3 linked regions of the Xenopus tropicalis genome follow. Each later gene encodes a partner of the first gene's protein in a complex. Links are inferred from orthologs where the notes say so. Each region holds a gene or a part of one and is shown in the gene's direction. Other genes may lie near its edges.

The links. The genes of interacting proteins can lie anywhere in the genome.
Region 2: cdc40 (region 1) and bcas2 share a complex: the UniProt entries of both Homo sapiens proteins name them as parts of the postcatalytic spliceosome P complex. The link is inferred for Xenopus tropicalis from reciprocal best matches to the Homo sapiens genes CDC40 and BCAS2.
Region 3: cdc40 (region 1) and rbm22 share a complex: the UniProt entries of both Homo sapiens proteins name them as parts of the postcatalytic spliceosome P complex. The link is inferred for Xenopus tropicalis from reciprocal best matches to the Homo sapiens genes CDC40 and RBM22.

The regions. Positions count from the first base shown.
Region 1 is NC_030681.2:77,413,421-77,416,938, reverse strand, and holds part of cdc40 (pre-mRNA-processing factor 17), read left to right. Parts: intron 1-1,207; coding exon 1,208-1,282; intron 1,283-2,964; coding exon 2,965-3,010; intron 3,011-3,518. UniProt on the Homo sapiens protein: Required for pre-mRNA splicing as component of the activated spliceosome. Plays an important role in embryonic brain development; this function does not require proline isomerization.
Region 2 is NC_030682.2:7,012,579-7,016,395, forward strand, and holds the end of bcas2 (pre-mRNA-splicing factor SPF27), read left to right. Parts: intron 1-938; coding exon 939-1,031; intron 1,032-1,491; coding exon 1,492-1,562; intron 1,563-1,695; coding exon 1,696-1,857; intron 1,858-1,980; coding exon 1,981-2,031; intron 2,032-2,296; coding exon 2,297-2,377; intron 2,378-2,889; coding exon 2,890-3,010; 3' UTR 3,011-3,299; downstream 3,300-3,817. UniProt on the Homo sapiens protein: Required for pre-mRNA splicing as component of the activated spliceosome. Component of the PRP19-CDC5L complex that forms an integral part of the spliceosome and is required for activating pre-mRNA splicing.
Region 3 is NC_030682.2:89,088,384-89,091,901, reverse strand, and holds part of rbm22 (pre-mRNA-splicing factor RBM22), read left to right. Parts: intron 1-419; coding exon 420-473; intron 474-1,704; coding exon 1,705-1,734; intron 1,735-2,684; coding exon 2,685-2,817; intron 2,818-3,480; coding exon 3,481-3,518. UniProt on the Homo sapiens protein: Required for pre-mRNA splicing as component of the activated spliceosome. Involved in the first step of pre-mRNA splicing.

The DNA.
Region 1 (3,518 bases):
TCAACAAGCACCAAGAAGCAATATCTCTCCTGCTTCTTCTTTCTTTGCACAATAGAGTGAAAAGCTGAACTTCAACAAAAAAAGCCCAAAAATACACACAGGAGGGGGTTGTGGGAGCACTCCAAGGGGTATATTTATCATGCTGTGTAAAAAGCGGAGTAAAACATTACCGGTTATGTTGCTCATAGAAGCCAATTAGATGCTTTGCTTTGGTTTTCTAACTGTTGAAATCAAATTGCTGGTCGGTTGCCCTGGGCAACATCACCGGTAATGCTTCACTCCACTTTTTACACAGCATGATTAATATAACCGCAAGTAAATTATAGAAGTACAATAAAAATTACAATGGATCTGGCCAAATTAGTACATGTATGGGACCTGTTATCCAGAATGCTTGGGACCTGGGGTTTTCCGGATAAGGGAAATCTGTAATTTGGATCTCCATAACTTAAGTCTGCTAAAAATCATTTAAATATTGAATAAACCCTATAGGCTTGTTTTGCCTCCAATAAGGATTAATTATATCTTTGTTAGAATCGAGTACAAGGTACTGTTTTATTGCAGAGAAAAAGAAAATCATTTTAAAAAATCAGAATTATTTGCTTATAATGGAGTCTGAGAGATTTCCTTTCCATAATTCGGAACTTTCTGGATAACTGGTTTCCCATAACTGTACAAGCATGCAAAAATTAGGTTATGTTCAATGCACATTCCCTTGTCCCCTGTTTTACTAGAGAGACACCTGTTTTTGTAAATACATGCACTTGCATAGATACTAAATCTCTAGTAAAACAGGACCAGAGAATGTGCATTGATCAAACCCCCTGTTTAACAATAAGCCAACTTTTTTGTTCTACCATGCATGCGCGGCCTGGGGATATTGCAGGTGGATGGTGCTCAGGGAGTTAGTGCAGCTTCCTGCTAACACGAGCACCAGCCCAGGGTTTCTGGTAGGTGATACCTACTGGATACCTACCGGAATGTTTGGAACCCTGGGGGGGTTCCAAACATTTGGCACCCCCTTCCCTCAGTGATTTAGGCTTTTCTTCTCCTTCAAATTCACTTGTGTTATAAAAAATATAAAAAAAAACAAATATAAAAAAATCTAAGGGGTTAAGGATGTATACAAAATGTTATATTCTGACATCATTCAACTGCATTCAGTTTTTCTATATGACCTTTTTTTATAAAACCTTTTGGTTTGCAGGGTGTCAGTGCTGTAAGATTGTTTCCAGTTTCTGGACATTTGCTGTTGTCGTGTTCCATGGACTGCAAGATTAAGGTGAGAATTTCTCTTCGCCAAATGGATATGTAACCATGAAAGACATAGATGAGACAGCCTTTCAACGCATCTTGTTAATAATTCTAATAAATAACTTATCAGCTTTGAAAAAGGAACTTGCATGTTCCAAAAAGGCTTGATCTTATTGTCATTATAGTTGGCCACTAAAAATATCAACTTTTCACCATATTTGTTATACAGTAGAATCCCCATTTTACTTTTTTAGCGGACCAGGAAAAATGGTGTAAAATCTGGGAAAATCTAAAATGAGGGAAATGTGTTAACTTATTTTTCAAGTACCTAAAGGATATAAACACAGGGAGTCAGTTTTACAAGATTTAGGGGCTGATTTACTAACCCACGAATCCGACCCGAATTGGAAAAGTTCCGACTTGAAAACGAACATTTTGCGACTTTTTCGTATGTTTTGCGATTTTTTCGGATTCTGTACGAATTTTTCGTTACCAATAAGATTTTTGCGTAAAAACGCGAGTTTTTCGTATCCATTACGAAAGTTGCGTAAAAAGTTGCGCATTTTGCGTAGCGTTAAAACTTACGCGAAAAGTTGCGCATTTTTCGTAGCGTTAAGTTTTAACGCTACGAAAAATGCGCAACTTTTCGCGTAAGTTTTAACGCTACGCAAAATGCGCAACTTTTTACGCAACTTTCGTAATGGATAGGAAAACTCGCGTTTTTACGCAAAAATCGTATTGGATCCGAAAAATTCGTAAAGAATCCGAAAAAATCGCAAAACATACGAAAAAATCGCAAAGTACCGATCATTACGAAAAAAACGCAATCGGACTCCATTCGACCCGTTCGTGGGTAAGTAAATCAGCCCCCTAGTGTGTGAATGACAAGGGTTAAGCAGTGGACAGAGGGATTTACAAGACCTCTCTGACGGTCAGATGCGCAACCTAAAGTAATAAGTGGTGTGTGCATGTTTATATGAGGTGCAGACTAATTGTAATTGACTGACATTAATGGGCTTATTTATCAATTTTGGAGTTTGTGAATTTGAGTTTGTCTTTATAAATCGAATAAACGTACATATCAACTGCTTGTTTATTAATAAAGAAAACTCGTTGAAACAAAAAACATTTTTTTTTTTTTTTTTGCAATGATTTTTCGCATTGACTTTTATAGTAACTTACAAGCTTTTAGGTGGCGAACTTTTACATTCAAGTTTTCAGGTTTTTTGCACTCATTAAGTTTCAGACATTCGAGTTCTTGAAACATAATTTAAATTTGAGGTTTTTTTTTTTTATCCAAAAAATGTTGATAAATCTCCCCATAACATTGCAAAATATGCAGTTGGTTAGTATTATAACACTCTTTTGTTTCACTAATAATATTTATAAAGGACAAACATACATTTTTGGGGACGTCAGGGAAAAGCACCCATTGAAATGCATTATAAATTGGTGGGACCACAAAAATCAATGTGAAAAGCAAGAAAACTTAAAATCAGGGTATCTAAAATTGAGGTTTCACTGTATTAAATGTTTTCACTAACTTTTTGACTAGCTTACTTGGTCACACTTTAAAATAACCTGTGTCTTTGCCTTTAAGAAATTTTTCTTTGTTTGATATCTATATTTTGTGATGCTCAGTTCTGCTAAGGTGTTTCCATTTTTTTTTTTTTTACTTTTTTTTTATATTTTATGTTTTTATTTGAATAGCTCTGGGAGGTGTACAAAGACCGAAGATGCTTACGCACATTTATAGGTACAGTGCTGAATTGACTTTTTTTTTTAAAGTATGTTCAAAGATAGAACTGCATAAAAGTAAGTCCAAGTCCAAGGACCGTGAGGTATGCCCATAAATTGACTTAGAGTTGCGGGGATTGTCTCTTAATGGCATGTGATTAGTGTGCAAGACTGTATGCCATGCCTTAAGCCTCCACAGCTAGAAAGTGGCACGTCCAGCTTCCACCTTGTACAGATTGTGGTGTCATATTTAATAGCTGACACATGTCGTGGCTTTATGTACAGTATGGGAAACAAAGTATCCGATATCATTATGCTACTGACTGATGTTATGCCTGTTAAGTTCTCTATTGTACACATGGCCCTTTTTAGGAATTGGCAGTGTTAGCTGCAAAAACCGTTACCAGATCTATCCATTTAGTATAATATGCCTGATTAGAGCTACTGTGTATATCTGGTCATCTGCTTCTAACACTTACTATAAAAATTCTGAGAGAGTGTGTTAATCTTTTGCACTCCATCTTGTT
Region 2 (3,817 bases), on another chromosome or scaffold:
GCCCCTGTGTGTCACATGACTCCCATTGGGGGCATTTCTACTGTAAATAACCGGTCTGTGCTGCCCCTGTGTGTCACATGACTCCCATTGGGGGCATTTCTACTGTAAATACCCGGTCTGTGTTGCCCCTGTGTGTCACATGACTCCCATTGGGGGCATTTCTACTGTAAATACCCGGTCTGTGCTGCCCCTGTGTGTCACATGACTCCCATTGGGGGCATTTCTACTGTAAATAACCGGTCTGTGCTGCCCCTGTGTGTCACATGACTCCCATTGGGGGCATTTCTACTGTAAATACCCGGTCAGTGCTGCCCCTGTGTGTCACATGACTCCCATTGGGGGCATTTCTACTGTAAATACCCGGTCAATGCTGCCCCTGTGTGTCACATGACTCCCATTGGGGGCATTTCTACTGTAAATAACCGGTCTGTGTTGCCCCTGTGTGTCACATGACTCCCATTGGGGGCATTTCTACTGTAAATAACCGGTCAGTGCGGCCCCTGTGTGTCACATGACTCCCATTGGGGGCATTTCTACTGTAAATACCCGGTCAGTGCTGCCCCTGTGTGTCACATGACTCCCATTGGGGGCATTTCTACTGTAAATACCCGGTCTGTGCTGCCCCTGTGTGTCACATGACTCCCATTGGGGGCATTTCTACTGTAAATAACCGGTCAGTGCTGCCCCTGTGTGTCACATGACTCCCATTGGGGGCATTTCTACTGTAAATACCCGGTCAGTGCTGCCCCTGTGTGTCACATGACTCCCATTGGGGGCATTTCTACTGTAAATACCCGGTCTGTGTTGCCCCTGTGTGTCACATGACTCCCATTGGGGGCATTTCTACTGTAAATACCCGGTCTGTGCTGCCCCTGTGTGTCACATGACTCCCATTGGGGGCATTTCTACTGTAAATAACCGGTCTGTGTTGCTCTCAGGCTGCAGCTTTGGTGGAAGAGGAGACCAGAAGATATCGGCCTACAAAGAACTACCTGAGTTACTTGCCCACCCCCGACTATTCCGCATTTGAGGTAATGGCTTTCTCCCTATTCTGCAGCACCCTACACTGGGTGCCCCTCTGCTCTATTCACGGTGGTTGCACATTGGCCAACCAAATGGCTTCCCTGCTAGAGAACTCACCCTGGCAACTAAGAACCTATTGCTCTGTGAGGCTTCAATTTTATTGTTACTGTTACTTTTTATCCAGCCCCTCCCCTATACTCATTCACACCACTGTCTGGTTGCTAGGGTAAATTTGACCCTAGCAACTTGATATCTCTGCAAAATATTAATACTTCATTATTCATTCTGCTACTACTCGTCCTTATGTCTGTCAGTTCTCCAAAGATTGCTTTCATAGTCCCATAACCCCGAGGGGTTTGCATGCACAGAGCCCACCCTGGCACCTACTGGTGCTAATATCACGTGGGTGGGGGGCATGTTCCCTTCACAGAGGAGACCAAGATTCCAACTTTCATTCATTTTATTTAGACTGAAATCATGAGGAACGAGTTTGAAAGACTTTCGTCGCGCCAGCCCCTCGAACTGCTCAGCATGAAGAGGTGAGTGCCGTCTGGTTACTATGGGTTACTGGACCAAGATCTGTGCATTGCTTTACAGCCCTGTGGTTTCCATGTGGTCTCATTGTGCTGAAGGGTATCCGTGGAAATACCATACCCCTCTCTCTGATTCTAGGTATGAGTTACCGGCCCCCCTATCCGGCCAGAGGAACGACATCACCGCGTGGCAGGAATGTGTCAATAACTCCATGGCCCAATTGGAACACCAGGCCGTCCGTATAGAGAACCTGGAGCTCATGTCCCAGCACGGCTGTAACGCCTGGAAAGTCTATAACGAGTGAGTTGGGAACATGGCGTTGGGGGGGGGGGGGGGGGGGGGTGTTGATTTACAGCACAGGATATAGCATGACCCAATGATACTGCCGCCCTTCAGTCACGTGATTCTTCTGTCTCCTCCCAGGAACCTGCTGCATATGATCGACTGCGCGCAGAAAGATCTCCAGAAGTTACGGTGAGACGGCATTAAGCCCATACTAACCATATATATATATATATATATATATATATATATATATAATCCTTCCCTGGCCGTGGGGAAGAGAGCAGCCCAGAAGCAGGAAGTGCAGAGATTTAGAGCTCAGTTCCTGTGTAATTACTGGGATGAGCTTCGAGTTACCTACGTGGGGTAGTTCCTAGCCCTGGGGTATTACTAGCAGTTGCACACTTCCATTTTAACAGCTCTAACGCTTTCACTATTTGTCTTGTTACCGGAACAGGAAAAAGATTCAGGACTTGAACTGGCAGAGAAAGAACTCCCAGCTGACAGCAGGTGCCCGACTCAGAGAGATGGAGTCAACGTAAGTGAGATTTGTGCATTTTGTTCACACCTAGGGTGAACTTATCAAGGGAATACCTACTCCCCTATACTGTATTTCCATGAATGAAGTACACACAGGCTTTGAGTGTGCCTAGCGGGCTGTTCCTGCTGAACAGGGGAATCCCTATGCTGCCATAGTTTTATGGTATCTCTCTGTACAGGCTATGAGCAAACTTAGGGGGCTGTTCCTGCTGAATTGTGCTTAGTACAGGGGAATCCCTATGTGCCATAGTTTTATGGTATCTCTCTGTACAGGCTATTAGCAAACTTAGGGGGCTGTTCCTGCTGAATTGTGCTTAGTACAGGGGAATCCCTATGTGCCATAGTTTTATGGTATCTCTCTGTACAGGCTATGAGCAAACTTAGGGGGCTGTTCCTGCTGAATTGTGCTTAGTACAGTGTATGGTATTTATGGGATGCTAATATTTTAGCTTTAATAGAACTGGTAGTCATTTTCGTCTGTCTCTAACTTGCTTTCTGTGCCGGTTGCAGGTGGGTGTCTCTTGTGAGCAAAAACTACGAGATTGAGAGAGCAATTGTGCAAATGGAGAATGAAGTCTATCAGCTGAAAGAGAGGAGCGGGGAGAATAAGGAAAATATTGAAGATTATTAAGGCCCTGCCCCAAGGATTACAGGTTCCAGGGTAACAGCACCGGTCCTGCTGCAGAGACTCTGGCGCCATGTTGGGCAGCGCTGCTGGGGGTTCTGGTTGCTTTATGGCTCTTCACTCTGGAAATGTAGCGAGTAGTCTCTGCCTGGGTGCTGATAGGCGCAGGGATGGGTCTCCCTGTTTCACCCAAATGCCCCAGTGCTGCCTCGTAGGCCGGGCACATACCGGCTTTTATAAGGAAATTCTGACTTGTTTTTCACTGTAATATTAATAATAAAGTGTTTTCCAGAAATCTTCCACTTTTATCATCCTGTGCGCTCCTGGGGGTCTGTACTGAGCACCCCACACAACCGTAACCCTGGCCTGGGTGGGGGCACACCATTATATATTAGATAGCACCCCCGTCTCTGCACAAGTGCCTGATCTCACCAGAGGGAAATAGGTATGTTCTGAGCTGGGACGGATTTCCCACATGGGCAGCTTCGACAGATAACGGGTCATGTGTGTAACAGTGAGAGGAAATCAGCGTAAAAACCAATGAACTGTCTTCTATAGGCCATAGAGATACAGTGGGAAAGCCTGGCATTGCCCTTCCTCCTGGGTCTCATCTGTTTTTACAATGTTAATATCATGAAGGTGTAACAGGAGCGCCCCCTGCTGTTCTGTGCAGGCGGAGACACAAGCAGCACTGAGCCCAGAGACACTTCCAGCATCAGCAAATGAAACTTTTCCCCTATCTGTCTGGCTCTGACTTGGTGTGAATACTGCAAATAGCATGGAAACTAAAGAAGTAGGGCAGAAATGCTGTAC
Region 3 (3,518 bases), on another chromosome or scaffold:
TAATGTACTGTTACCCTGCACTGTTCAAAAAATTGTGTTTACTTAAGAACTAATATAGCTATACTAATAAAATGCTGTAAACCCACAGAGCAGCAATTTTGTAACTATTGCAACTGGGCGAAAGGGAACACATACAGTATATAACAGATAATGTCATTTGTGTAGAATAAGCTTTTTTGGGTCAGATCTTCTTTACCTCTTTTATTGTTATTTGTTGTATTTGTATGCTATCTGTATGTTCAGTGTATATATATTTCTACTAAACAGCACTGCATTTATAAATAAATGTTAATAAAAATACAACACTTATAGTACTTAAACAGAAAGATAAACAGAAGTCAGATGCCTTTTGTGGCTCTCTACACAAGTGAACTTTATTTATCTTCCTTGTGGAATGAGTATTTGATTTGTTTTTCCAGGACTTTCCCATTTTGTGTCAGACATGTCTTGGCGAAAATCCATACATCAGGATGGTAAGCTATATTATTGAGTAATATTACTTTTTTAATTAGTTAAACAAAGGCTGCCATGTTATATTTGTAATACAAACAAATCTTTATATCTTGTATAACTTGATGTCCCCAGATAAGTGACTATTTTTCCTAGTTTGGGAACCCGAAGGGCCTAGGGCAAACAGCTTACGTAGGGGTGATGTACAGACTTGTCTGGAGAGGACAATGGCATGTTGTGCCCTCCACCTTATACAATTTTTTGACTGACTTGCGTCTGAGTCTTGATCAGATATCGGTCAGGGTGGCTGTACTTTTAGTTCAGTATGTTTCCAAGATGGTACCAGTGTTGAACTGTGCTTTAGGGCTCTGGCACACAGGGAGATTAGTCTCCCGCGGCAAAACTCCCTGTTCGCGGGCGACTAATCTCCCCGAGTTGCCTACCCCTGCCATCCCACCGGCGAACATGTAAGTCGCCGGCGGGATGGCAGATGCAGCAGCGTGATTTCGCACAAATCGCCGAAAAAGACTCGCGAGGCCGCGGGCGACTAATCTCCCCGTGTGCCAGAGCCCTTATAATCAGAGTAATGACTAGTTTTAAAGCTATTACAGTGGTACTCAATCATGTATCAGAAAATGTGCTTTTGCCTTCTTGCTTTTTTAGAATTTAGAGCCAAAAACAACTGCCCCTCAATGTAATTGTAAGTTGAAAGTATAGTAAGTGTGGCATGTTTCATCCCTTTATTTTCATTTGTTCTTTTACATGAATACTTGTTGAACTTCATGTTTTAATTGTAACTGTCACTTGAAAAAAAAATTGTGCTATTCTTTGCAGCAGTTGCAATTAGGAAGGGCTACGTAGCCCCCCAACAATTGACTCCTGCTTTGTGCAGTTTCTTTTCATTTGGCAATACACAAAAAGATCTGTTCGTTTTGTGAAGTTTCCTCATGAACATTATCTTGGCCCAAAAGCGGATGGCCAGACTTGGCAAATTCAGGCAGATCTGATCTCCTAAACCAGTGATTCGATCATAGCGTGGCCCTATGCTCACCTGTTGGGAGAGGAAGGCAGACGTGGGCTGATGCAATTTTTAGATCTGCTCAGTATGCTTCTTACAGATATCAATTGGGCAGCCCCCACTCATATTAAAACTGCCAAATCTGCAGCTTATGTCAAATTGTTTTAGCATATAATTTGAATTTTTATAAAATATTTGTTCAGTTCATTGAAATAACTTTATGCATTTTCTTTTAGACCAAAGAAAAATATGGAAAGGAGTGCAAGGTAAAGTAAAAAGGTGCACTTGATTGGGTTATTGTGCGCTTAAAAGTTTAGTGTTTTTTACGTAAGTGGTAATAAATTGGTGTGCTTTCCATTCCTCTTCAGCATGACACGATCACTGCATACAACAATTTTATTAGCACAGAAGTGCAGAATTCGGAGATTTCTGGATAACGGGTTTCTGGATAAGTGGTCCGATACCTGTACTATGTTTTGGGGCAAGGCGACATTTATTTGCCGTCCTTAATAATGTTGCATATTTAAAGTGGGGGAAAAACCTTTAGAGCCTTTATTTTTGAAAGCCAGTACTACCTAAAGTACTACCTACAGAGGTAGTAAGGGCAGTGACTGTATCTGGTTTATATGATATACATATACTGTCATGCATAGGTGTTGGAGAATCAATAAGCATTAGTTTCTTCCGTGCTAACACAGCTCCTTTTAAAGCGTATCTGCTTTCAATGTCTTAACTTTAAACAAATCAAAGAAACACTCAACCCTATTTTCTGAATTTCTCCTGTTTTCCCTCTATATAGTCTCCTTGAGCCTTTCTTTTCATTTGACTTCTAGCCTTAATTATGTCCTCTTTGGTCCTTTCCTTTATTCTTTTCTACTCTTCACATTACACATCTACACATTTTCTCCTGTTATCCTTTTTTTGTAATACATTTTTTCCTCATTGGAGTGAGATTTATACAGAAATAAAGAAAAATTAATATAAAACTCACCACAGGTAGGCTAGCTCTGCTGTTGGTATTTCAATAAATCTACTTGACTTTAAGTTGTATACCTTGAGCACTGCTCATTGAGTGCCTGCTCTCACATACACAGTTGTTTCCTCTTTGGAGTGAGCTACTATCCTATATTTGCATATAAGCGGATGTTTTGATCATTGCAATTCAAGTCCTTTAATACACTAGTTTTTCTTGATGTTAGCAAAAAATTTTTTTCAGATTTGTGCTCGTCCATTCACTGTGTTCCGCTGGTGTCCTGGTGTTCGGATGCGCTTTAAGAAGACCGAAGTGTGCCAAACGTGCAGCAAGTTGAAAAATGTCTGTCAGACCTGTCTGCTTGACCTTGAATATGGTGGGTTTTTTTTAATTTAATTGGGGTCTGACTTAGGTTAAGGGCAGTGGCAGACGGGGAGATTAGTCGCCCCAAGCTTGCTCTCAAGGCAACTTTGGGTGACTTGGGCAAATTGTAGCGACGCGTATGCTATCTCACTGCGATTTACATTCTTGCCGGTGGGATGGCATAGCTGGGAGATTAGTCGTCCGCGGCAACAAAGATTTGTCACGGGGTGATGGTTTATTAGCAGTGTTAAGCTGCACTACAAATTTCTGTTCTGTGTCAGAACACAATGTAGTAACACTTTAACACATAAAGTGGTATTTATGTAGAAGTTTCCTTTTTATAATGTATATTGTTTAAAACCTATTAGAGCAGGAAAAGGAGAATCAACTTAAAACTAAATTAATGCATAGAATAAGATTTGTAAATGATAAACTCTCATACAAAATTCAATTTTGCCTCTTGTCCATATTGTAAGTTTAGGAATATGTTGTCCACACACAGGTTTTGTTTCAGCTGCAAATACAAAGGAGGATTTGTGGAAGGGGTAGTTGACTGCTAACATGTTGCTGTTACATAGATGATGTTAGTAAAATCTTTTTGTATGGGTATTGTTGTTTCCTGCATGATGAATCCCATTCTTTCTTTAACCCATTTTTGTTTTGTGCCTTAACTTAGGACTGCCAATTCAAGTACGAGATGCTGGGGCATCCCTA